Linked DNA regions of Coturnix japonica. The protein of the gene in region 1 interacts with the protein of each later gene in a pairwise test. Links are inferred from orthologs where the notes say so. Each region holds a gene or a part of one and is shown in the gene's direction. Other genes may lie near its edges.

Region 1 (7,872 bases):
ACAGTCACCTGCAGAGAAATGCTGTTGTGTCCACAGGGGACTGAGAGCAGCAAGTGGAGGAGCTATCCATGCCTTCACAGCCTCAGCTCAGATGTGGTGTTTGACCACTGAAACATTCATTGGCACTTTGGAAAGCTTAGAGTTTGTTTATTCATCTTTACTCATATATTTGGTTTTACAGATTTTTTGATTCATTTTGCGTTGTTTTTTTTTTTTTAAGCTTTTATTTTACCTTTACTGCTCAACCTTTAAAATATATTTAATTTTATTTTATTTTTCAGACACCTCTTATTGACTCTCACATCCCACATCGTCCCTCTAAAACCATTACACAGGTAATAGGACACAGGTGTGCTGTAAAGACAGGCTGCTAGATAAACGGAATCAGCTGACCTCATGCCTTTCTTAATGTGCTAAGTATGAGAGACTTAATAATTTACACAATATATTGCATTGCTCTGCATAACTAAGCATCTGTACGAGGACTTCTAATTTAGGAGGAAGAGAACTTGTATTTTGTTTTGCAGAGGGCAGTACAATGACTGTGGAAAGTTTTAAATGTGTGTGTGTTGGTCCCTTTTTTTCTCCATGATCACCAAGGTTCCTTCAGAAAAGATCCTCAGAGCTGGAAAGATTTTGCGGAATACAATTCTGTCCCGAGCCCCTCACATGATAAGAGATCGTAAATATCATCTGAAGACTTACAGGTGTGTGAGCCTGTTTTTATGCCTGCCATCCTCTGATTTATTATTTAAGCCTTACCGTACTCTCAGGTCTCAAAAGGTCTAAAATTATCCAGTGATGCTATTTGAGCCTGTATGTTATGAGTCTTTAATGAGCCTGGTAAATCCATTCTGAAGTAATTTGACTGGAAATTGAGTCCACAGTTCTGAACAGATCATTCACTTAAAAAAAAATGCTCCCAAAGTTAATGGCATAGTTAGCTGGGAGATTCTGTGCAAAATGTAGATTCTGTTTACTTTGTATGTCGGTGGGATGTAATATGAAAGCTTAATTAGATTGTTACTGTCCTGATTGCTCCAACGAAGCTGCTAAGTGTGAAACCTGAAAATTCACCTAGTGAGAATCGTTCCTTATGTAGATTTTCCGTCCTATTCAGCCACCTTCTTCAGTGTTATCGTCAGGCTTTCTTTTCTTCCTGCTGGTGGCAGCACCGTCCCGTTGAAGTGGAACAGCAATAGCACTTTCAGACAGCAATCTGACTTCAGGGAGTCAGGCTCTATCTACTGTTGGCTTAGGAAATAATCAATTCGTTTTAGCATCTAAGGTTTGAATCAAATACCTTATGCATTATTTGGTGAATATTTAAATAAAAATTGGTTTAAAACCTCTGAGCATGTATTTTTCTAAATAGCAAATCAATATGTTGCTGATTTGCTTTTAAAGTAAGGGCATTGATTTTCCCAATTATTGTCCAAAGTATATCTAATATTATATGAGGTATTTGGAGCTTGTGTGGTGATCTGTCATGATGTGGCATTGGCTCATTGTTTTAGAACAATAAAAGAGCAAGCATGATATTTGAAGACCAATGCTGGTCCAAACAGCTGCAGCATTTTATCTTGTACAAAAATGGGGAAAACTCCTACACTGTTATCCCTGGGCTTTTTAAATATGGAATTTCAAACATTAGATTGTATCCAGGTGATACAAGCAGGTGTACCAGGTACAAGTGTATCAAAATGGGGTGTTAATTGCAAGAGTGTTATTTAAGCTAAATTACAATAGTTTCAGTAATATCTTCTTAGTTGGTCTCAAAAAGTGAGACACGAACTGTGGAACCAGGCCATTCTATGTGTCATCAGTTACAGATTTGCTCATTTTTGATCACTTTGCACATTTACTTCTGTTCTGCTGTGTTCGGATGTGTTAAGACAAATGTCCTTTGGAGAAACACCAATTTTACATGGTGACCACCCTTCCCCCCTCCTCCCCACCCCCTCATTTTTTTTTCCTTCTCCCCCCAACTCCACTTTGGGTACTCTGCAGAATTTGAGACCTGCTGTTGTTCACCTCCAGGTCAGTCAGGAGCTGCAAAATGACCAGAACCTGGCATGAAAGAGCCTCATGTGCACTGTAGACCTGCAAACCAGTGCCCTCAAGTACAGTCTAGCTAGAGAGAGCTTGGTTACAAACGGAGGAAAATGCACATAATGCTCACTCTCCCTATAAAGGCTGTTCTCATAGTCAGAGCTATTATAATGTTAAATGTTTTCATGCAGAATGCTGAAAAATTTGAGGCTTTCACATGACAGATTTTCTCTGAAATTTGGGTTGAAGGTTGCTGCATCAATGCTGTGGGTTTTGACCAGCTGTTACAGGTTCACTCTGATCCTCTGAATGTTGCATTTCCCTAAGCATTTGCTGTTCTTTGAAGCAGTTTCTCTCAAAACATAGGTGCCTTCACTGGTATTTCAGACATATAGGCAGAGACCATGTAATTGTCTTCTACAATGATATCTGACTAAAACAGAGTTTGAGATATCACTGCTGTTAGCAGATACTGTTTGTGATCTCTCTATAAGCAACCTTTTCATTCCTTTCTGTTCATTTGTGCTTCAGGCAATGCTGTGTGGGGACAGAACTTGTTGACTGGATGATGCAGCAAAGCACTTGTGTCCACTCACGAAGTCAGGCTGTTGGCATGTGGCAAGTATTGCTGGAAGAAGGCGTTCTTAACCATGGTAAGTTAAAGACATTCAGAGCCTTGACTAAAATTTGATGAGTGTGTCCCATCAGTGTCTCTGTGGATTTCTTTGGTGAAAAATAAAAGGATTGTGAGCCCAAATGAAAAACTACAAATAAACCTTTTCAGAAGCTTGATTTGTACACAATATACAGATGATAATAATGGAATCTTGCTACCAGCATACCTTTATCATTTATGAAAATACTGAAAAGTCAGTGAAATTTCAATGTAAGTCTAGTTAGACTTATTATTACACTGATTTGTGATTATATTCCAGAAGTTGGATATCATCTGAGCCAAAACTAAGATATATGTTGCCGTACATAAAATTGATCTTCACTTCCAAATGCTGCAAAATTTTTACTTGAATGTAAGCTTTTCTGTTCGCTCATATCCATAATTTTTGGATGATTTTCAGTGGTTTTTGAATGGTTCCCAAATTCAGCACTCCAGATATCCCAGTGCAGAGATCTGGGGTTTTATGTTAGTTTTCTGATTGCATTTTATGTTGCCTCATGGGTTCCACTTGGCAAGATTTACTAGGTAACAGAATGTTATAGCCCTCCAAAATGCAGCTTTCTAAAGCAGTATTCATATCTAAAGCTGTGCATGTACAGTTTTATGAAGTTCAGAACAGCCACACTATTACAGTATACTTCCAGTCATTGTCTGTTGTGCTTTCCACATCCCAGGAAGAACTTTCCTTTCTGAGAAGACAGATTATTTCCACCATTTCCTTTCATAAAAGGCTGTAGCTTACATTCCTGCCAAATACTGTTTTGAATTCCTAGGACCAAGCTGCTCCAACTACATCACACTATCCAGCTCAATACACCATTATGAGTTGCTTGGAAGACCAGGGATTTGTCTTTTGCTGTGTCACAGCCTCTCTTCAGCAGTCTTCCAAGAGAAGACTTAACATTACACTCTCCACTAAGATACAAGTCAATGGTCTTCACTCTGGTATTACATGTTGTTGACACATTACCAGAACATGATTTTAGCTGCTTCTTGGTTTGTTACTTTTCTGCTCTGTCTGAAACAGCCGGGGTAAGGTGTTCATGCTGGAGTACAACTCTTAATATATTCTGTTGTTTCCAGTGGACCAGGAGCACCACTTTCAGGACAAATACTTATTTTATCGATTTTTGGATGATGAGCGTGAAGATGCCCCTTTGCCAACAGAGGAAGAGAAAAAGGAGTGTGATGAGGAGCTACAGGACACTATGCTGCTTCTGTCTCAGATCGGGCCGGATGCACATATGAGGATGATTCTCAGAAAACCGTAAGCAAATTAGTAAATTAATGGTTCAAATGTGTCCTCCTTGTTACATTGGAAGGCTACGTATATTACCAGGCATCCTTTAGCTAGTTATTTCAGTGCAAGTTTACTCAGCCTCTTACATTTGTTAGTCAACACTAAGTAACTTCCAGTACTTATTCATAAATTGGAACATATACCTGAAATAGTAATCAAAAGCTATGAATGTTATCATACCTTGTAGAAAATGCAGCGCATGAGTTTTTATTTCATTTCTGAGTATCACTAGCAGTAAGGTACAGGTTCCATTAACACTTTCAGTGCTGGTATGCCGTTCAGTTAACTGCACCACTTTCAGTTGTTACCAGTGCTTGGATGGTAAGTTTGTTAGCACAGCAGATGCCTTTCAATTAGTCATCAGTGGGAGACCTTAATTAATTTCATCTTTGGTAGAACTTTATTGAATTGAGAGAATCTGGACATTGCCTGTTATACTTTGCTAGCAAGGTATGAAATATAGCTCTTTGGGTTTGTTTATCTATTTTCATTGTGGTTTTTTTTTCTGTTTGTTTTGTTTTTGTTTTCTGTTTTTTGATTTTTTTATGTAAATATTTCCTATACCTAGGCCAAAGAGGATGTCTGTCTAACCTTTTCATAGCTATCAGATTATATCTTCTCAGTCATCATTTGGCTAACCACCCTTTCAGCAGTACATTCTGGGTTTTTTTTCCCACAGGCAGCTTTATAGTGACTTCAAAGCAAGCAATATAATCTCTGTTTGACCTTCCATTACAAGCAATCTCTTTATTATGCAGGTAGTGTTTAGGAGCTACTGAAGACATACTTTACTGCTAATTAAGTGCGCTGAGAATAATGATTTATTTAAGGTCATTCTCACTAATGATTTACTTGTAAGGGTCAGATCAAGGAAGGTAAGTACATAGAGCTAAATCCTACTCCTTTTGAGGCCAACGGCAAAGTTTGTCTTTGTTACAGGAGTGCCTTGGGCCATGGCTACTGTGTGAGAGAAGTTTTAGGCTAAAAATATCTAGAATCCAATACAACTGCTTATTCTTGTTCTGGTTCTATCTGTATCCTTTCTCTGCTCTATTCTTGTCTCAGTGTTGTCTATTTAGATCATAAGCTTATTTGCGCAGTGGCTCAGCATTCCCTGGGAATACAGGTTAGGTGGCACTTATCCGAAACCTTGATGAAGGTGCTGAATTTCAAAAAGTTCAACCAGATGTTTGTGCTCACAGAAGTTGTTTAACACTACTGTGCCAGAATAGCTTCTCTTTCCTCCATTTGGTAGAAGTCTAGTCCAGGACAATCCCTGTCACACAAAACACACAGGTAAACCAGACTGGGAGCATGGTATATATGTAAACTATTATAGTATCAACAAAGTGAAGTATTTTCTTCTCACAAAAATGTCCTGTGCTTTCCAGTGAGGAGTAGAAGGCAGCTGTGAGTAGTAGTTTCATCAGGAGACTATGAGCAGCATCCTGTACGCTATGACCTTGCATCTCTGCACCGTCTCCTTTGCCTCTGTCAGTCTGCAGGCTAGATCTTAGAGAACTGCCCCCTTAGTTTGTGTGCTTTCAGCCACCTACTACATTCTCTTTGCATTGTGACTTTCTGATCACCCAGTGTAAGTTTACGCTGGCAAGATCAGTGCTGATTATTGTCCACACTCCTTGCAGAGCTGAAAGGTTGATGTGATGCTGTGAAAAGTATCGCTTTCCCCCCTGTGTTGTTACTTGCACAGCATCACCTGAAAGAATATTCATAGGAGATTTTTCATGCAATATAGTGAGGGGAATTGGGTTTTCCCAAGACTGACATTCTCTGACATTTTTCCCTATTTCTGTCCCTGGAAGTGCTTATTTTGCTGCACTTTGCTCACGGGAACAAGTTTGTACTCTCAGGCTCCATATTAACTACTCTTCTGGTATTCAGTTTACATATGTTATGACCCTGCTAGTTGAGAATCATCTGTGCTGAGGTGCATCAAAGCTGCTGAAATCTCTGTGAATCCTCAAAGTCCTGCTAATTTTGACTAGGTGCCATTACAGCTGCCAGAAGTTCAAGGAGTGGTCAGGCCCTGAGAGATGCTAGCTGCAGCTGACCTGAGCAGGGCCACAGTTTTTAAACCAACACAGCTGCCTTTTATAGCACTCACCATTTCCAGAGAGGTTGCAGAACTTTGATAATTACCCTGAAAGAAATAAGACAATATTCTTTGATGAGAAGATAGCTTTGAGAATTTGATTGTATAATGAAGCTGTTGCTTTGAAAGGTACTTTCTATTGTTCAAAATCTGAAAATCTCCAGTAAAAAGTGTCACTTGTTTTGACAGCTGACTTAAAAAATTCTCTGTTTATTACATTAACTGCAGCATTTTAACTGTCAGACTGTGAAAGAATGTTCTATAGTTTAAAAAACAGAATAGAGCTCAGGGAAATTTTTTTTGGCAGGCTCTTGTTGCACTTGAGGGATTTTTTTTCCCCCTTTTTTTTGAAACACATACAGTGTGAATGTGAAAACAGCTTTTTGTGAAGCAGCAAACACTGCTCTCTGTTCCCCTGAGGAAGGAGCAGACCTTGTGCAAGTCATTGTAGAATTAACACAGCTCTTCCTCACAAGCTTTTCAATCCTCCACTGTGAAAATACATGCTAACAATGTATTTTTAGTTGATTTTAATAACATTCAGGCGTTGCTAACCTCATGGTTGCTCCTAATTAAATAGCATACTGTCATACAAAACTGAACGTGGCAATAACAGAAGTCTTTAAGGAGAAGGTGTTGTTCATAAGAAAATGATATTTAGCTAAGATGGATTATGTGCTGTGTTTTAATACAATAGTCTACAGTAAATTAACAGTGTGGCAGAAACTGTAATTCTCTGTCATACATTCTTGGTGACTTCACTCAGCAAATTGTATTCTGAAGTACAAAGATTGTGATTCCACATTTGATGAGTAAGCAGTCACTTGTGGAGTAAAGCTGAAGAAGATGCTAGGGAGATCTGAACTTAATAACGAACAACACAGACAGATATATAATAACAACATAATTACTGCTAGTAATATGTAGTTTTTTGAAGATGTTCTTAAAAATAAACAAGATCTGTTCTTCTGTCTTGAAGAATTTTTATTTAGATATCATTCTACACAGCTGTCAGTATTAACCATACTGAATTATTCCGTAACAACTGTATGATGTTCCATAGTCCTTGATGGGGTTTTCTGACAATGGCATTTAATAAACTAAATGTTATTTGTGGTGGGGGTAATGCAATCTTTCCACATGTCAGTTCAGTGATATTTACAGGTATCATTTGTGACAAGTGGTATTTATGGGCTTATTTATATTAGTCAAAATGTACCAATTCAAGTACAAAGATTATGTAATTTGCTTCTATTCTAGAGTAAGTGAATGTGCATTCACTTCCATGTTCAGATGCAGGTAGTGGACAAAATTATTCTTGTCTCCTACATAGACTTCGTAGTACTTGCAGGCAAAACTTGTACTCTGGAAATATATGCTTATTTGACACATGATATTATGGGGCCTCTGATCTTTTCTATTGTTCTTATAATCTGTAAATTTTCTGCTTAATGGTGTAACAAGAAATAGTCAATGACATTTTTTGTGTGTACACAGTTTATCAATCACAAAGTGCTATGTTGTTGTCACACAGAAGCTCAGTATCTCTGACCTTGATAAATTCTCCAAACACTGAACTGTTTTTATTGATCACTTAATACCACCTGAGTTCTCCTGTCCATTAACGTGTAGCCTTGTTCTCTATCTATGCCGTTTATTATCCTGTCTATAACCAGCTATTGCAGTTAAAATATGTCCCCTGCTGAAACTAGGCCTTTACACAGCAGGATC
Region 2 (7,872 bases), on another chromosome or scaffold:
CAGCTGGGTGGGCTGAACTGCTGTTTGTTACTCAGTGCTGTCCACATTTGAGAAGCCCTATAACTGGAATGCTCTGCAGTCCTTTCCAGAGAAGTCACAGGCTGATGAAACACAGTGTCTCATTTAAGATAGCTCATCCCTGTTAAATATTTTAGAAGTGGCAGGGTAGCTGGATAGTTACCCTTACTTTTGCTGGAATGGCTCCTCTGTTACTAAATAACTGAAGTGATTATTCAAGGCTCAGCGATTTTCTGTTTCCAACCACAACAAATTCACAAGTATGAAAAAGGATGAACAACATCCTTAAGAGACACGGTGATCCATCAGACCTTGAATTAGCTCTGCTACAAACCTGCTGCGTATTCACAAGCAACTCGTCACTCCTACTGCCTCTGGACTGCAGATTGTCTGTGTGCTGCTATAGGTGTTCACAGAATAGAGATCTAATTGCTGCTCAATACAACCAGAATAACAATGACATAGTTCAGGGTTCCAGAGGCACAGGTTTGGTGTTATTAAAACTTTCTCCATGCATCTGGTGGTTTTTTTGTTTTGTTATTTAAAAGAAAACAACAAAAGAGATGATGACAATAAACCTCCTAAATTAGAATTAATAGAATTAAACAAGCTAATGGTTGTAGAGTACAATGAGCTTCTCAGTGGACTACAGTATGCTTGCATCAAGTCACAGCAGCAGGATTCTTGCTGATAATTACATTTCTGCACAGCATTTCTTACCAATTGTTCTAAAACTATTACTTGGTACAGTGCATTCTCCCATTTCTCCTTCTGCTGCTCCAAGCTTCCCTTAAAGTTTTCTTTGTATTTACCAGTTTAATAGGTATTTCACTTTTTTGTTGCTTTTCATCACAGGTGGCTAATGTTCCATTTGTTGTTGGCACACTGAGGGTACAGCGTGATCATTAAGTTAATAACCATTTTAACTATGCCAGTCTACACTGAAATCGAAGCAAACATGCTTGTGTTTCACCTCTCCACTCTATCTCATTATATGTAATAGCACAATAATCTTATTTCTATACAGTAATTATTTTCATGTTAATATCTTTTTGTGCATAGAGTAGTAATATTTTACTTGTTTCTTTGTCACTGGAAATTATCCCGGGGATTGTACAGCATGGAGTAATTCAATCCTGTCACTAGCTGTGACTAATCCTTGTTGCTTTCTCTTTTGCTTTATGAATTCTGGCTCATTACCAGTCTGAGCTTTGATTTCTGTATTAACAATATATGCTTTAAAAAAAATAGTTGACAGTGACATGTCTGTTTTAAATAAAATGAAACATTTCTCCTTTCTGTTATGAAAAGGTATGAGACTTGTGCATGAAACCGTACGGAACCATGCCTCAGAGCACTAAAGGTGTCATTCATCACCAGGGCAGAGCTAGAGCCTTACTTGAAGCCCAATAATGCTAACTTAGTCTTTTCCAAGAGATTTCATTATAGGAGCACAAAACATTTTATAAACAATGATCATCCTTCAGGATGGGCCAGTTATCTTCAATACTAGAGGAGAAATTCAGGCACAAACAGGTTGGTGATTTTTGAGAATCAAAACAATTAAGGTATATAGGGGGAATCCTGACCTGTGGCCTCTTTAGTGGCTTATATTTCCATAGTATCCCCGCACTTATGCTCTACTGTTTCAAAAACTCCAAGAAGTACTGCATTCTAATTGTGCATCTTCCCCTCAAAGCCTGTCTTAAAAATACATAGTCTTCAGCGAGAGCCAAAGTGCATGTCATACTGCAGTTCTGTTGAGTTTATGAGACCTATGGACTCTCTATAAGAGAGTAAGGTAAATGGGCAGCTATCAAAGGAGCTCATTTACTCTTAACTTTTAGGAATGGAACTTTAGGAAAGCTGAAAATCTGATGCAAAATCGTATGGTTCCTTAACAGCGTATAGATAAAGATATAGATGCATAAAGCATGGACTTTATCCTTCAGTTCCTTCTTGGAAGACCACGTGTATCCCTCTAGAATTGGCTCATAAAAATCTCTTCCAGAACCACAGTACCACCATGCTCTGCAACCTCACCTCCACATTTATTCTTGTTTCAACTGTCCTATTTGTTGTTTTTTGCCTCAAAGTTGCTTTAATTCAATTCTTCTTATTTTTCCTTCCAGTCTGAAATTTCTATGAGAATTTCTTTACAGTATGCTTATGGGACACGTACTGCTGTGGAGATAAACTGGAATACTCTGTATTGTTCTAGTTGCATCCCTAAGTTTGCAGACAGGTTGTGAACTGAGATCTTACAGTTTCTATATTTATTTCCCTCTACTTTTAAATCTGTGGCACCTTGCTTATAGTTTGGATTCTTTTGATACCACTACATAATTTTGGATACCTTTCAAGAACATTCTCTCTAGTTCAAACACACGTTGAGTAGGATGTGAAGGAGAATCTGTGACTGTACTGCAAGGGGTCAGACTAGACTTGTGCTTGTCACAATAATTCTAGCGTTGACTCTAGGCACAGATGGCATAAGGTTTCTCATGATTCCCCTCCTGAACTACTGAAATCACACTGTGATTTCAGTATATTACCAAAGGGTAATAGTGGGTCACTCAGAACTAGAGTTGTAGAGTGGAAATAAAGAAGCTCCTTTTTGTTATTTTTTTTCCCTTTTTTTTTCTGAGCTCTTGAGAATTAATTTTAAAACATATACGCATGCAATATATTTGTGGCTCAGTTTCTAGTTACCAATATTATTGGCTTTAATTCATAGTAGCTTCCTAACTCCTGCTTAATATAGTTTTGAGCAAACGAATTTTGCTACAAACAGTTAAAATAACTCCACAGCCCTGAAAAGCAACAAGAGGCAAAACTATGCTTAAAGGATCAATGTTTTATCGAACAGCAGTCAAAAGAACCTACATCTGTTGAGTATTGAATTGCAGTTCTGACCACCTGCTAGGTAGGTGGATTTTGAAAACACTCAGCAGCCTTACTCTTTACATGTGACTTTGCTTTGTCACTGACAGAGCTGTAACAAAACTTCTTAAACCATCCAGGCTACACCTCAGGTAAATATACGCCAACAAACACAATGATTTCCGATAAGAAAAACCATCTTCTAGAGGCAATAAATAGCCTTACCCTACCAACAAGTTCTGCAACATGAGTTTTTAAGAACTACTACTATCAAATGCCTGTTGCTGTAGGAGAGCAATAGTCACTTTTCCCCCTCTCAATATTCTGTTCTCTTAAAAAAATTAGTGATTTCTTACATTTTTGAATTTACCACCAATCCACTCGAGAAAAAAAAAAGATAAAGTTAAGCCCAAAGTGTTTATTTTTCTATCTTCTAGAATTGCATTGATTCGTTCCATGCTAGGAGAACAGGTCTTTGTAAACTAAGTTGATGCAGAGAGGTGTATTTTCTGACTATTTTATTAGGTGGGATTTTGTAGTTTTATTTCTACCCTGTGTTTCTGTTGGAAATTCTTCTTAGCTTAGTCTGTCATGAGGGACTTGGGAATTCATCTCATAATTAGTTGAGCAGTTTTTTTTTAATTCCAGATACTTTTTGGCTCCTGTATTCTGCATAATTATTTCATCCTCTCCTTTTTCTTTTTTAACCTTTTTTGTAGTGCTGGAACAGGCCTCCTTTCAGGAACACATCTGCCAAAATACACAAGCACTCTATGTGTTAGTCTTAGTCTCTCAAATCTTGTTTGAAATTAATCAGTGCTCTCTGGAGGAACACTCACCTCCTTGCAGGAATAAGCCCTACATCATTTCCAGTCACATCTTTAGCTATTCTCCAGTCTGTGCTGTACATCATGTTGACATAATGGAATGGCATAAAGTGTTTCAAGAATTGAAGATGGGAAACCTTCATCAGTTTTCAGGGCTTGCACTTGGGCTAAGACGGGACTCTTCATACTTGCAAGTAATTGCTCTGAATGAGCTTTGTAGCTAAGGCTATTCTTTCGAAGTTTGTAGTTATTCCCACTAAGGAACTAAAGCTGAAGTTAACACACTGGGTTAGGATTCTCTAGGGTTATTCTGACTAGAAATAAAGGTCACTTGGTTTAGGAATTCTTCAAAATGGTTACACTGAAAGTAATAAGCAAAACACTAAAGAAACCAGTGAACGTAGCACTCAACTAGAAGAGTCTCCACTAGTTTCATTAATTAATCCATAGCCAGATAACTCTGTGGTTAAATTTGCATTCCTAAAAAACCCTGTTAAGATAGTTTGACCAGCTTCATTTATTTTTTTTTTCCTCTTCTTTCACATGCAGATCAACTTGACATCATTTCAATGGCTGAAACAACAATGATGCCTGAGGAAATAGAGCTAGAGATGGCAAAGATCCAGAGACTTCGGGAAGTCTTAGTCAGAAGAGAATCAGAACTCAGGTTTATGTAAGTATCAATTCCTCTGGGAAACACTATGCAAAATTAATCAAAATAGGAAAGAATGCTACTTAGAAGACTCATATCTGCTTGACATTTTAAAAGGAAGATGGATAAAGAGCATCCCAGCTAGGTGAATGCTTGCAAAATGCCACTGGGAAATGATTTTTGTAGTTGCAAAGGAAATTGCCTTTTTTATTTGGCATGATTTGCAGACAATAAAAAAGGGATGTATTACTTACAAAAGGAAACCTTAGCAAAGTACTTGTCTACAGAGAATATTTTTATACCTGACTTCAATCCTTTGTGGAAAGGATGTTTGTCTGAAGGAAATATCAACAGGTAGGGGATCGGAGCTTCTAACGGCTGAACTAATTCAGGCTTTATTCCTCACTTCATTAGTGGTCTTAGTTCGTGACAAAGAGGGCACTCCATGTTCCAGACTAACAGCAGCCAAGGTTTGACATTTGTTAAATGAAAGCTATTAAGTTATAAACACAAAATACATTTCCATAGATCAAATTAAATAACGATATTCCATGAGAGATTTTTCAAAACTGTCATCAGGGTCAGGCATTGTAGCCCAAATTAATGTTAATGAATATCAACCCAGTTCTGATGGAGTCAGTGGGGTTTGTGTTTCTAAATCACTAAATTTAGGAGATGAGAACTTAATAGGAAGCATAGATTAGAAGCGAATGCCTTAAATGACAAGAACCTCAGTAAGTCTGATACCTGCTAAACAAGGTGCATTGGCATTAATGAAGCTACTTGTAGCCCGAGAAAAACTGACTTGTCTCTTCTTGTAAAATACAAATTTAAAAGTGGTACTTTAACTATTATTGCTGGAGGTTAATTTCAGTGTCTTGACTTACTTGTGCACTCAGAAGTTGGAAAGCTCACCATCAAGCAGCACAGACATCTATCTTGACTATTATTACAGAAGATCCTAACCCAGACCAGAGATCTTTGGCAGTAAAGACTAGTAACAGTTATTCTGTCCTTTAATTGGGCTGTAGTGGTATAAATAAGATAAACAATTTGTCACACCTATTCCTGGTACTCATTAAATAAGTACTTGATTATTGGCTTTTACATAAATATAATCTAGAAAAATCCACATAATCAAACCCTGTAATTCTCGTTAACATTTTCTATACCAAACAAAGCAATGGGACAAAGATAATCTGTCCCAGTGAATGAAAGCCATGGCAGACACCTGCTTGTCATAATTTTGCATGTCCTTCCCTTGCATTCTTTGTTCTTGAATCCAGTCTCTTTTCATTTCCCCTGTGCTCACACTCATCACACTCACCACTCTGTGTTGCCTGGTAGGTATCTGAGTAATGAACTGAATGCAGAGGAGTGTGGTTATTGAAAAGGGAACAAAACTGACATTCATTCTGAGCACAATGCTCTTTCTGTGTTAGATACATCCATATATCCAAACACACTGTGCCTAGAGCTGCCTAAGAGCACTCCCCAGTTGTCCGCTGTTTTGTACCTATTCAGCTAGACGAGTTACAGAAACTCTAACTCATAGACACACTGAAAAAGACTTTATATACAGCCAGGTATATTTCTTTCATTTATTTCCTGAAGCAGTGGATTGCTAGTGTTCCAACACTAGAAGTCTGTCCATTCATTATGATTTTAAGTATATTTAGGAATTGATTTCTCCTAACAAGACTAGATTCCCCTCTGAATGACCTGTATGAAATTGTGCTGACTTGACTTTGACAGCACCCCTGCCAAAAGTAGTGCTGCACCAGTGCTCACACCAAGAAGCCGAAGATCAGCTCTAACGAGAAACAGATCACTTTAGTTCTTACACCTACTTCAGCTTTCATCGTTTTACAACAAAAGAATAAAACATACTAACAGTAGTGGAGAAAACGTGCAGTATGTTGGCATTCCTGATTTTTCTCTCATGCTGTTAGCGAGCAATGGAATAGAAATCCTCTTGATCTAAGCTGGGTGGGTTTTAGTTCTTACAAAAGCACAAACAAAATGATGAACCAATTAATTCTATATCAGTTACACATCCAGCCACAGATTACATGTCCTTTTTCAAAAAATAATGATTCATTCTTCTCACTGTCACACTGAATTTCTTAGTTTTTGCATTCACATGTCACCAGATCCTAAAGCTAGAAAAAAAAGCATATTGTAGACTTACATCAAAGAAAAAGACAAAATAAAAGAAAGTAAGCTGGAGAGCTTATGTTCTGAATGTATCATCAGTACTAATGGCGCACTCAGCTTTACTTAAACCAGCAACCACCACAGCTCTTCACAGCATGGTCACTGTATTTTATAAGCGTTTGCATTCATGAATAAGAAACAGAACACTCCAAACCAAACTTGTTTTTGATGAAAATCAGTGCAAACTCTTCCCCTATTAGAGCTATGGATGTTTAATCCCTGGAAAGAACTTGTTCTAACTACTAATTGAAATTATTGCTTTCCTTGAAGAAGTACAAAGCAGACTGAGATGGAATAATAATAAAACTCACTATCACTGATCTTCTGAAGCAGCTCTGCAACAATATTTGTTAAGTTTCAACTGTTACATCAGTATTTTGCCTGAAGAACTGCAGTAACCATAAAGTAAAGGGCATGAAGCAGAGAACTGCTCCAGGTTAGCATAGCAGCCAGTACAAACGCAAAACAAACAGGTCTAAGAAGGCCTGGAGGGACAGAAGTCAGTTTGCATTTTCTCACTCTTCTAAACATGAATCAGCTGATATGCAAGATCACTGTTAATATAATATTCTTTCAGACAGTTCCTCAGCTATTATCTGTAAAGTATGTCTCTCAGGTTTTCTCAGCATCAAAAAACACGAACTCTTACGACAAAGTCATTAGCAAGATATACAAATAACTTTGCTTACATTGAAAGCCAAGACACTTAGGTCTTATCTTAGTTAAGTGTTTCTACAAGGAGGCTAGTATTAACTTTCCTGCACTAAATAAAGCAATGCCAATGACTAATGAAGTCTGTAGGATAACAAAAGGGATAAACAAAATATGTTGCTCATGTTGTTCCTAAATGTACGCTTCAGTATCTAATTAAAATCTTCACAGAATGGTTCATCATCACTAACAGCTTTAAAAGAGTCACCTTGTTGGGTGAAGGAAAGAATAGGATGGCAAAGAAATCAAAGCCAGATAATCAATCATCATTATTAACTCAAGCAAGACCTTGCAGATCCAAGGAAAGGAATCAGGCAGTGGAATTAAGTTTAGAAAAAAATAAAAATAAAAATGATTTAATGGTGTCAAGCTTAAAAGGCAGTGAGCAGTGTTCAAAAACCATACAACACTGTGTATGTGTTTCTTTCTATTATATATCCAAGCAGATTCTGTTTACACTTTTATCTTTCAGCCTATGTCTATCACACCATATCAGTAACTCAACACTTGGATTTTCAGTATTCAAAATTAAAGCGAAGAAAACACCCATTATATTTGAACAAA
Region 3 (6,986 bases), on another chromosome or scaffold:
ATCTTAATGGGATGCTTCTAAATTAGTTACTCTTGCAGTGTCTTGATGATTTGGGGCAGTGTCTTCTACATATGAAATCCTGATGTGCACCTGTAAGCTCTTGTTCCTTTAGAAGTACTTAAGCACTGGAATTGATGGCAAGGAATGAGTCTAGGTCCTTTAATGTGGAGCAGTGCCTGGTCTCCCAAATGCCAGGCATGTTCTCTGCTCCTCTGAGTGTGCAGGCCAGCAGCTTGAACTTGTGGAAGAAATGTGAAGTATTTCTCAGAATCACTTGAGTACAGATATTGGATTCCTGTGTGCTCTGTAGGGCTGGAGAGGTGTTGACCCCGACTGTTTAGGTCAGGAAAACAAAACAGTGAGATTTCTGTTTAGTCGGGAGTGTATTGATGCTGTCACCGTGTTCCTGGAGTTAGCCTGTGCTTCACAGGAGCTAAGGAGCAGCCTGGACTGGCACAGGACATACTGCAGTGATTCCAAGATGGAATATTTCTGGCCATTTTATGACTTACTGGGTGGGAGCTGCATGTAACTGATTGTGAGCATTGCTTTCAGATAATACTCAGCTTTTTTGTGTATTCAGCATCATTTACTGCTCTGCACCAATGGCTGACTATGTGAGAATTAAAAAACAGAGAGTGAAACTGAAGTGGTGGAGTGGAGGAGTTGACATTATTCTAGAAATAACTGATCATTCGATTTAGAACTGACTGAAAGCCCTGTTTATGCAGAAGAATCTCTTTCTTGCTTGTGGCTTAGCAGCAGCACTCTGTTGTTGTTGTATTTTAAAGTGTTTTATTTGTGTATAAATACAATACAGTTATTTTCCAGTCTAAATGGGGCTATATTTTATTTCAGGAGGTTAAAAAGAAGTTGGAAACGGCAGCTAATAACACCAGGAGCTGGAAAGACAAAGTAGCTCACCATGAGGGACTGATTCGACTAATAGAGCCAGGTAAGTAAGTAATTAACATGAAAATCACAAAGGCAGAGTACTCATGTATGTGCATCAGCCAGCTGTGTATTTAAGGCCACCTTTCCTTGTAACTTACTGGCTTCTCTACAGCCAATAAACACTACACTGTCAGAACTGCTGCTCAAAGTAGGATCTTCCGTCTGAGTGGTAGGATTGTTCTGCATTCAGAACCTACATGGTTCAGAAGAAAGAGAAGTTGCAACTCTGCACTACATACAGTGTATTACAAAAAATACCATCAATACAGGACTTAAAACTTGTTGCCTGTGTGCAGTGTAAGTACTGAAGGATCTCGACTGATGAGACCTGCTGCTCCCTGAGGATTTGGTTTTACTTGAAATAAATGAGTATTATTAACTTAGCAGTAGATAAAGGCTCTTGCTCTCAAAAGGGGCGTTATGAAATCCACCTACCTGGAGTGTTAAACCTGTGCAAAATTAAACATCAGAACCTTTTCACATCTTTACCCCCTCTAGTGGCTTTGCTAAAACTATTTCTTTTTAGTGTTATTTCATAATATAGCATATGTTGTGACATGATGCAATTACTGTTACATTATATTGCTACTTTGTATCATAATATTGTACTGATGTCAAGATACAACATTCTGCAGTATATCATTCTGTCTCTAATATTTACATTATTATAGTATTGCATTGTGTTACTATATATATTTAAACAAAGCAAGGATCAACCGGAAGGTGGCACGTATGAGTGTTAGTCAGCCTAAATGTGTTCTGCCAAAAGCACAAAGGAAAGATCCCTTCACCACTTACTGGATGTTTAGCTGGGAACCTCTCCCTTGAAGCACCTTTGCTGTGTCCCCAGTGTCCCTCCTGCTGCAGTGAGGTGGTTCCTTGCGCTGCCTTTTGAGACAGCTCCCAGCCATTGAATGCTGACCAAACCATCCCAAGTCTGTCCTGCTGCTGTGGGAGTGGTGGGACTGTCAGAAACGTTTGTTTCAATGCTCTCTGTCTTCCAGGCTCCAAGAATCCACACCTCATCACAAACTGGGGTCCGGCAGCCTTCACTGAAGCTGAACTGGAGCAAAGACAGAAGAGCTGGAAAGGGAAAAAAGCCTCTTCTGAGTAATGATGATAGCTGACACACTGTGAACAGAAGTCCACCCTTGTTCACTCTGCTTTGCACAGAACAGCTTGTTGCTCTTTTGAAGATGCTAGTTTACTCAGCAGGATGGCCTTTCTACAAAGGAAATGCTGTTTACCATGCAGAAGTGTCTACTAAGAGCTCAGTAACTATACCACTGTGTGCTGTCTGGCAGTACTTGCTGTTTTCCTTCACCTTAACAGATATCCTGTTCCTTTATGCAAGACTTTTCTACTGAAGATTTTTATTTAAGTGTAGCCTGTGACACAGTGGTTTCTATATTAGCCTGTAACAAACAGGCAGCATCTAACCCATCAGGCACCATCCTTCTCATTTCAAAAAGCAAGGGAAGCAATTGCTATACTTAGTATAATGTAAACCTGGGAGAAGTCAGTCTTGTGGCCTCTGTCCAGAGCATTACCTTTCTTTCCTTTTAGGCTCCTTTTGCTTTTTCCTCTGTCTGCCTGTTGCTCTTCATGTCGCTGGCTTCATCCCTGTGTACCCACAGTCTCTGTTTCCTGGCTCCTGTGATCTGTGTGTCCTCTGCAGGAATGCACATAAAAGCATTGGAAAGAGGCATGTGCAAAATGCTGTTGCAGAAAATTTAGGCAAAGCAGTCGTGCAAGATTGATCTTGTCACTGCTTCATACCTGAGGCTGGCTTCAAAAAAGTTTAAGAACTCAGAAAACCACAACACACTGTTTGTGGTTTAACAGATGCTCACTTTTGTCTCTCAGATTGTTCTGGAGTGCATAAATGGAACGTGACGGCACAGAGATGAAATATCTACATCAAACCTATGTTTATGTAAGATGTTTGTTGATGCAATGACCAGTCCTATAGTTGTAGCACTCTGTTTTGTCTTATTCTTCATTAAGGGCCTGATTAGAAAAATGGGAGATGAAAACTAAAGTTGACATTTGTATTTGATATGAGAATGATGAGTCAGTAGCAGTACTGCTACACAACAAAATAATTCCTGTCCATCCATTCCAGCATTACTGGTAACCAGGATTTTCCATGGAGTCTTAAACTTCTCTGTAGAGAACCAGAGAGGGATTTCTGTTTCTGCGGGGAAGGAACAAGTGTGTGATGTTGCCCCGTAGCTCGCTCACCAGACTGAGGTCTAGCTGAAGTTCGACTGGCATTCTGAGAAGTCCTGCCTTGTGAAGAGCAGGTGCCCACTGCTGTGGTTTGTTAATCAGCTTTGACTTTTGCACACACACCAAACATAACAGTTTTTCATTCAGCTCGATGTTAAATTACCTTTAGGAAATAAGATGTGAACGTATTAGGTGAGTAACCAGTGCCTTTGGACACAGCATGGCGCTGCTCAGCTCTCAGACGCTGTACAGGCGGAGCTTCAGATTAAGAACTCGACAGCATTTTCATTGTCTGTTAACTAGGACTCACTCAAATACTGCAATCTTTTTAGACATTTACTCTTTGATTATATTTTTTTGTACTAATTGAAATCTTTCAATGTTTTGGTAAATGGGATGCTATGGTAAATGGTAAAATGGAAGGCAAATCCAGGATTGTCCTATTTGTATTTACTGTACAGAAAAGCAGTAGTTTCTTAAGTTTGCTAACAGGGCACTTTTATATTGATCTTGTTTATAGAAAAAATGTGAAAAAAGCTGTAATGGAAATACTAATGTTAAAATTTGCGAGATAAAAAGGAACATGATCTATAAACTGCTCTGTGCCTCTCGTGGGGAGCAGAAGATAGGAGTCATCTTCTGGGGCCAAACTTGGTAATTTTCATAGCAGTCTTTGTTTTGAATAAATGTGGTGTTTTTGGTTTTTTTTTTCTTTCTTTTTTTTTTTTTTTTTTTTTTTTAAGAACACCAAAAGATGCACGTTTTCAGATTTTTTACTGTTCTTTAGAATGAGCTATTTAATAAAGTAATAAACATCAGTGACAGCTCAGAACATAGAGCTGGATTATTAATTTTCATGCACACACAAGGTGAGTAATTAATTTCCACGCACTCACACACACAGTGTCAGATTTTCCACGCACTCACACACACAGTGTCGGATTTTGTCCACGCACTCACACACATAGTGTCGAATATACATACACAGCTGGTGACTAATTAATTTCCACGCACTCACACACATAGTGTCCGTCACGCACTCACACACATAGTGTCGGATTTTCACGCACTCACACACATAGTGTCGGATTTTCCACGCACTCACACACAGAGTGTCGGATTTTTACGCACTCACACACATAGTGTCGAATATACATACACAGCTGATGACTAATTAATATCCACGCACTCACACACATAGTGTCCATCACGCACTCACACACATAGTGTCGAATATACATACACAGCTGATGACTAATTAATTTCCACGCACTCACACACATAGTGTCGAATTTCACGCACTCACACACATAGTGTCGAATATACATACACAGCTGATGACTAATTAATTTCCACGCACTCACACACATAGTGTCAGATTTTCACGCACTCACACACATAGTGTCGAATATACATACACAGCTGATGACTAATTAATTTCCCACGCACTCACACACATAGTGTCGGATTTTCCACGCACTCACACACATAGTGTCGGATTTTCACGCACTCACACACATAGTGTCGAATATACATACACAGCTGGTGACTAATTAATTGCCACGCACTCACACACACAGTGTCGGATTTTGTCCACGCACTCACACACATAGTGTCGAACTGGCACGCACTCACACACTTAGTGTCTAATTAATTTCCACGCACTCACACACTTAGAGACTCAAGGACAGTTAACAGCAAAGTTTTTTGTTGTTGTTTTTTCTTTATGTTTAGCCTTTTATTTTCTAGTAATTTTCCAGCAGCAAAATGTAGCCTTTACACATTAGCTGTAGAACTTGCCAGCACAAAGTTTTTGTTATGCCAACATTAAAAGGATCTTTTAGTAGTTGCATTTCAAGTCTTTTCCAGTGTATCGCATGATGCAGTATTTACTCCTGAGGACTACATTTTAAGCTCCAAAGATACACAAAGATATACAAAGATAATTTAAAAGAAAGCTAACACATACTGTGTTTTTCCCTGAACACAGAGAGCCTTTTTCATATTGAGCATGTTAATATTCTACATCACTGTTATTTACAAAGAAATTATTTGTTCTAGTCCATCCCAGTCTTCCTAGTTTCATACATCCAGACAGGCTCTCCAAAAACTGCAGAAGGTCTCAGCAATGTCCATTACAGACATGCAAGAGATCGGTCAAGCCTCTAATGCCTTCTGCAGTTTTATTGACAACCAACAAATACTTACCCAGTGAAGTGGCCGGATTTCACAGGGTCTGATGTCTGTTCTAGATTCTTCCTGGTTATTGATCTTCAACTGTTCCTCTAACAGTTCTTCTAATCAGTTAATTGGTCCAGCTTCTCCCAAACCACAGTGATAAAGGATGAAAAGTCTCTTAAGAGTAACAGGATTAACAATGCACATCAATGGAAGCTCCTGTCTACCCTTAGATGCAAACAGACACTGCTTGTCTCTTGTCTCACTCTCTGGTCTTCCAGGGTTTCACAGTGATAGGATCTATCAAAGAGTCTGATAAGCTCTTTAGTGACTTGCTCACAGTTACATCTACCCCCACATCTCCCCCTTCTTTATTAATAGAAAAAGCACAGTTCATAGCATCCTGTATCTTTTTTTCTGTACATAGCAACAAACATGGAATACAAACCAAAACACAAAGTAATAAGACAAACTAACCCTAATTTTAGCAGATTTTATATCCATCCCACAAAACCTCTAAAAAGACCTCCAAATATATTCCCCCCATCTTGGGCCCGTTCCTTCCTCCAGAGAAAGGCATGTCTGCACACAGGGTTGCTTTTTGCAGCGTAGCACTTCTTCTAGCATGATCTTCAGTTCAGTTTCTATGCAGTATGAACTTCCTTCCCGCACTCTTAGTCCAGAGGTGGGTTCTTGTTTGGATCCAAATCATTTCATAAAAACTAACATACATTCACAAGTTTCCTTTTTTAGCTTTCCATCCTTCCTTACAACTTTGTTTGTTTATTTACAACTTTTTTGTTTATTAGCAAACAATCACCACACTATAAAATAAGAGCACTAATTATATTAGTAGCACAATCGTCAAAACTCAATCAAAACCTCAACTGATAACACACTAAACATAAGGTTACATGTAAGGCCATAATTTTTTGAGTCGATATATACACACTCATTCAAGCATTTATTTTATACAATTCTGTAAATTGACATTTATAAGCTAATGTATTATTACTTATTGACAACTATGAGATGGCAAACCACCAAGAGGAGAGATAAAGAACACAGCAGCAGCGATAGGCAGTGCCAGCAGGGCATCCCTGCTTCAAAGTGCATTTTGCCCTTCTCACCCGTCACAGATTCTCTCCTGTTTTTATTCTTGCTAGAGACTGTAAGGTTTTTTCCACTTGTACTCCACATCTCCACGGCCAGTGCATGATACAGAGCCCAGGTGGAACACCTGCTCACAAAATAGAACAAACCACTCTATTAGATCTCTCTAAAATACAAACTACTCACGGACTGCCCTTACGTATATCTGAAATGGAACTGAACCAATATCCACCAGTTCTCGGCATCTTGAGTCACAAAATTCACTCTATTCCCTGGGGAAGGGGTATTAACATTAACTTAAAACACATTACCAGATTCCACATCAATTTACTGGGCAATGGGGCGGTCCCAGTTTTACATTCCCACTGTCACATGCAGCAGAGCAAGAGATTTTTATTCCTGCCAAACAGTACAGCAGAAATACAGGTAAAGATACTGCTATAGTTACCATAACAACTGCTTTTAACTGCATTTGTTTTCAAGAATACATTTTTTTCCTTCATTCAAAG

What was found.
Region 2: the proteins of RAPGEF4 (region 1) and BMERB1 interact in binary tests that used the Homo sapiens proteins (3 or more experiments, as listed by UniProt). The link is inferred for Coturnix japonica from reciprocal best matches to the Homo sapiens genes RAPGEF4 and BMERB1.
Region 3: the proteins of RAPGEF4 (region 1) and SWAP70 interact in a two-hybrid assay, tested with the Homo sapiens proteins (2 studies listed by BioGRID and IntAct). The link is inferred for Coturnix japonica from reciprocal best matches to the Homo sapiens genes RAPGEF4 and SWAP70.

Annotation. Positions count from the first base shown.
Region 1 is NC_029522.1:15,617,049-15,624,920, reverse strand, and holds part of RAPGEF4 (rap guanine nucleotide exchange factor 4), read left to right. Parts: intron 1-281; coding exon 282-335; intron 336-600; coding exon 601-707; intron 708-2,583; coding exon 2,584-2,705; intron 2,706-3,811; coding exon 3,812-3,995; intron 3,996-7,872.
Region 2 is NC_029529.1:7,342,038-7,349,909, forward strand, and holds part of BMERB1 (bMERB domain-containing protein 1), read left to right. Parts: intron 1-4,277; coding exon 4,278-4,401; intron 4,402-7,872.
Region 3 is NC_029520.1:13,497,406-13,504,391, reverse strand, and holds the end of SWAP70 (switch-associated protein 70), read left to right. Parts: intron 1-858; coding exon 859-955; intron 956-1,958; coding exon 1,959-2,068; 3' UTR 2,069-4,018; downstream 4,019-6,986.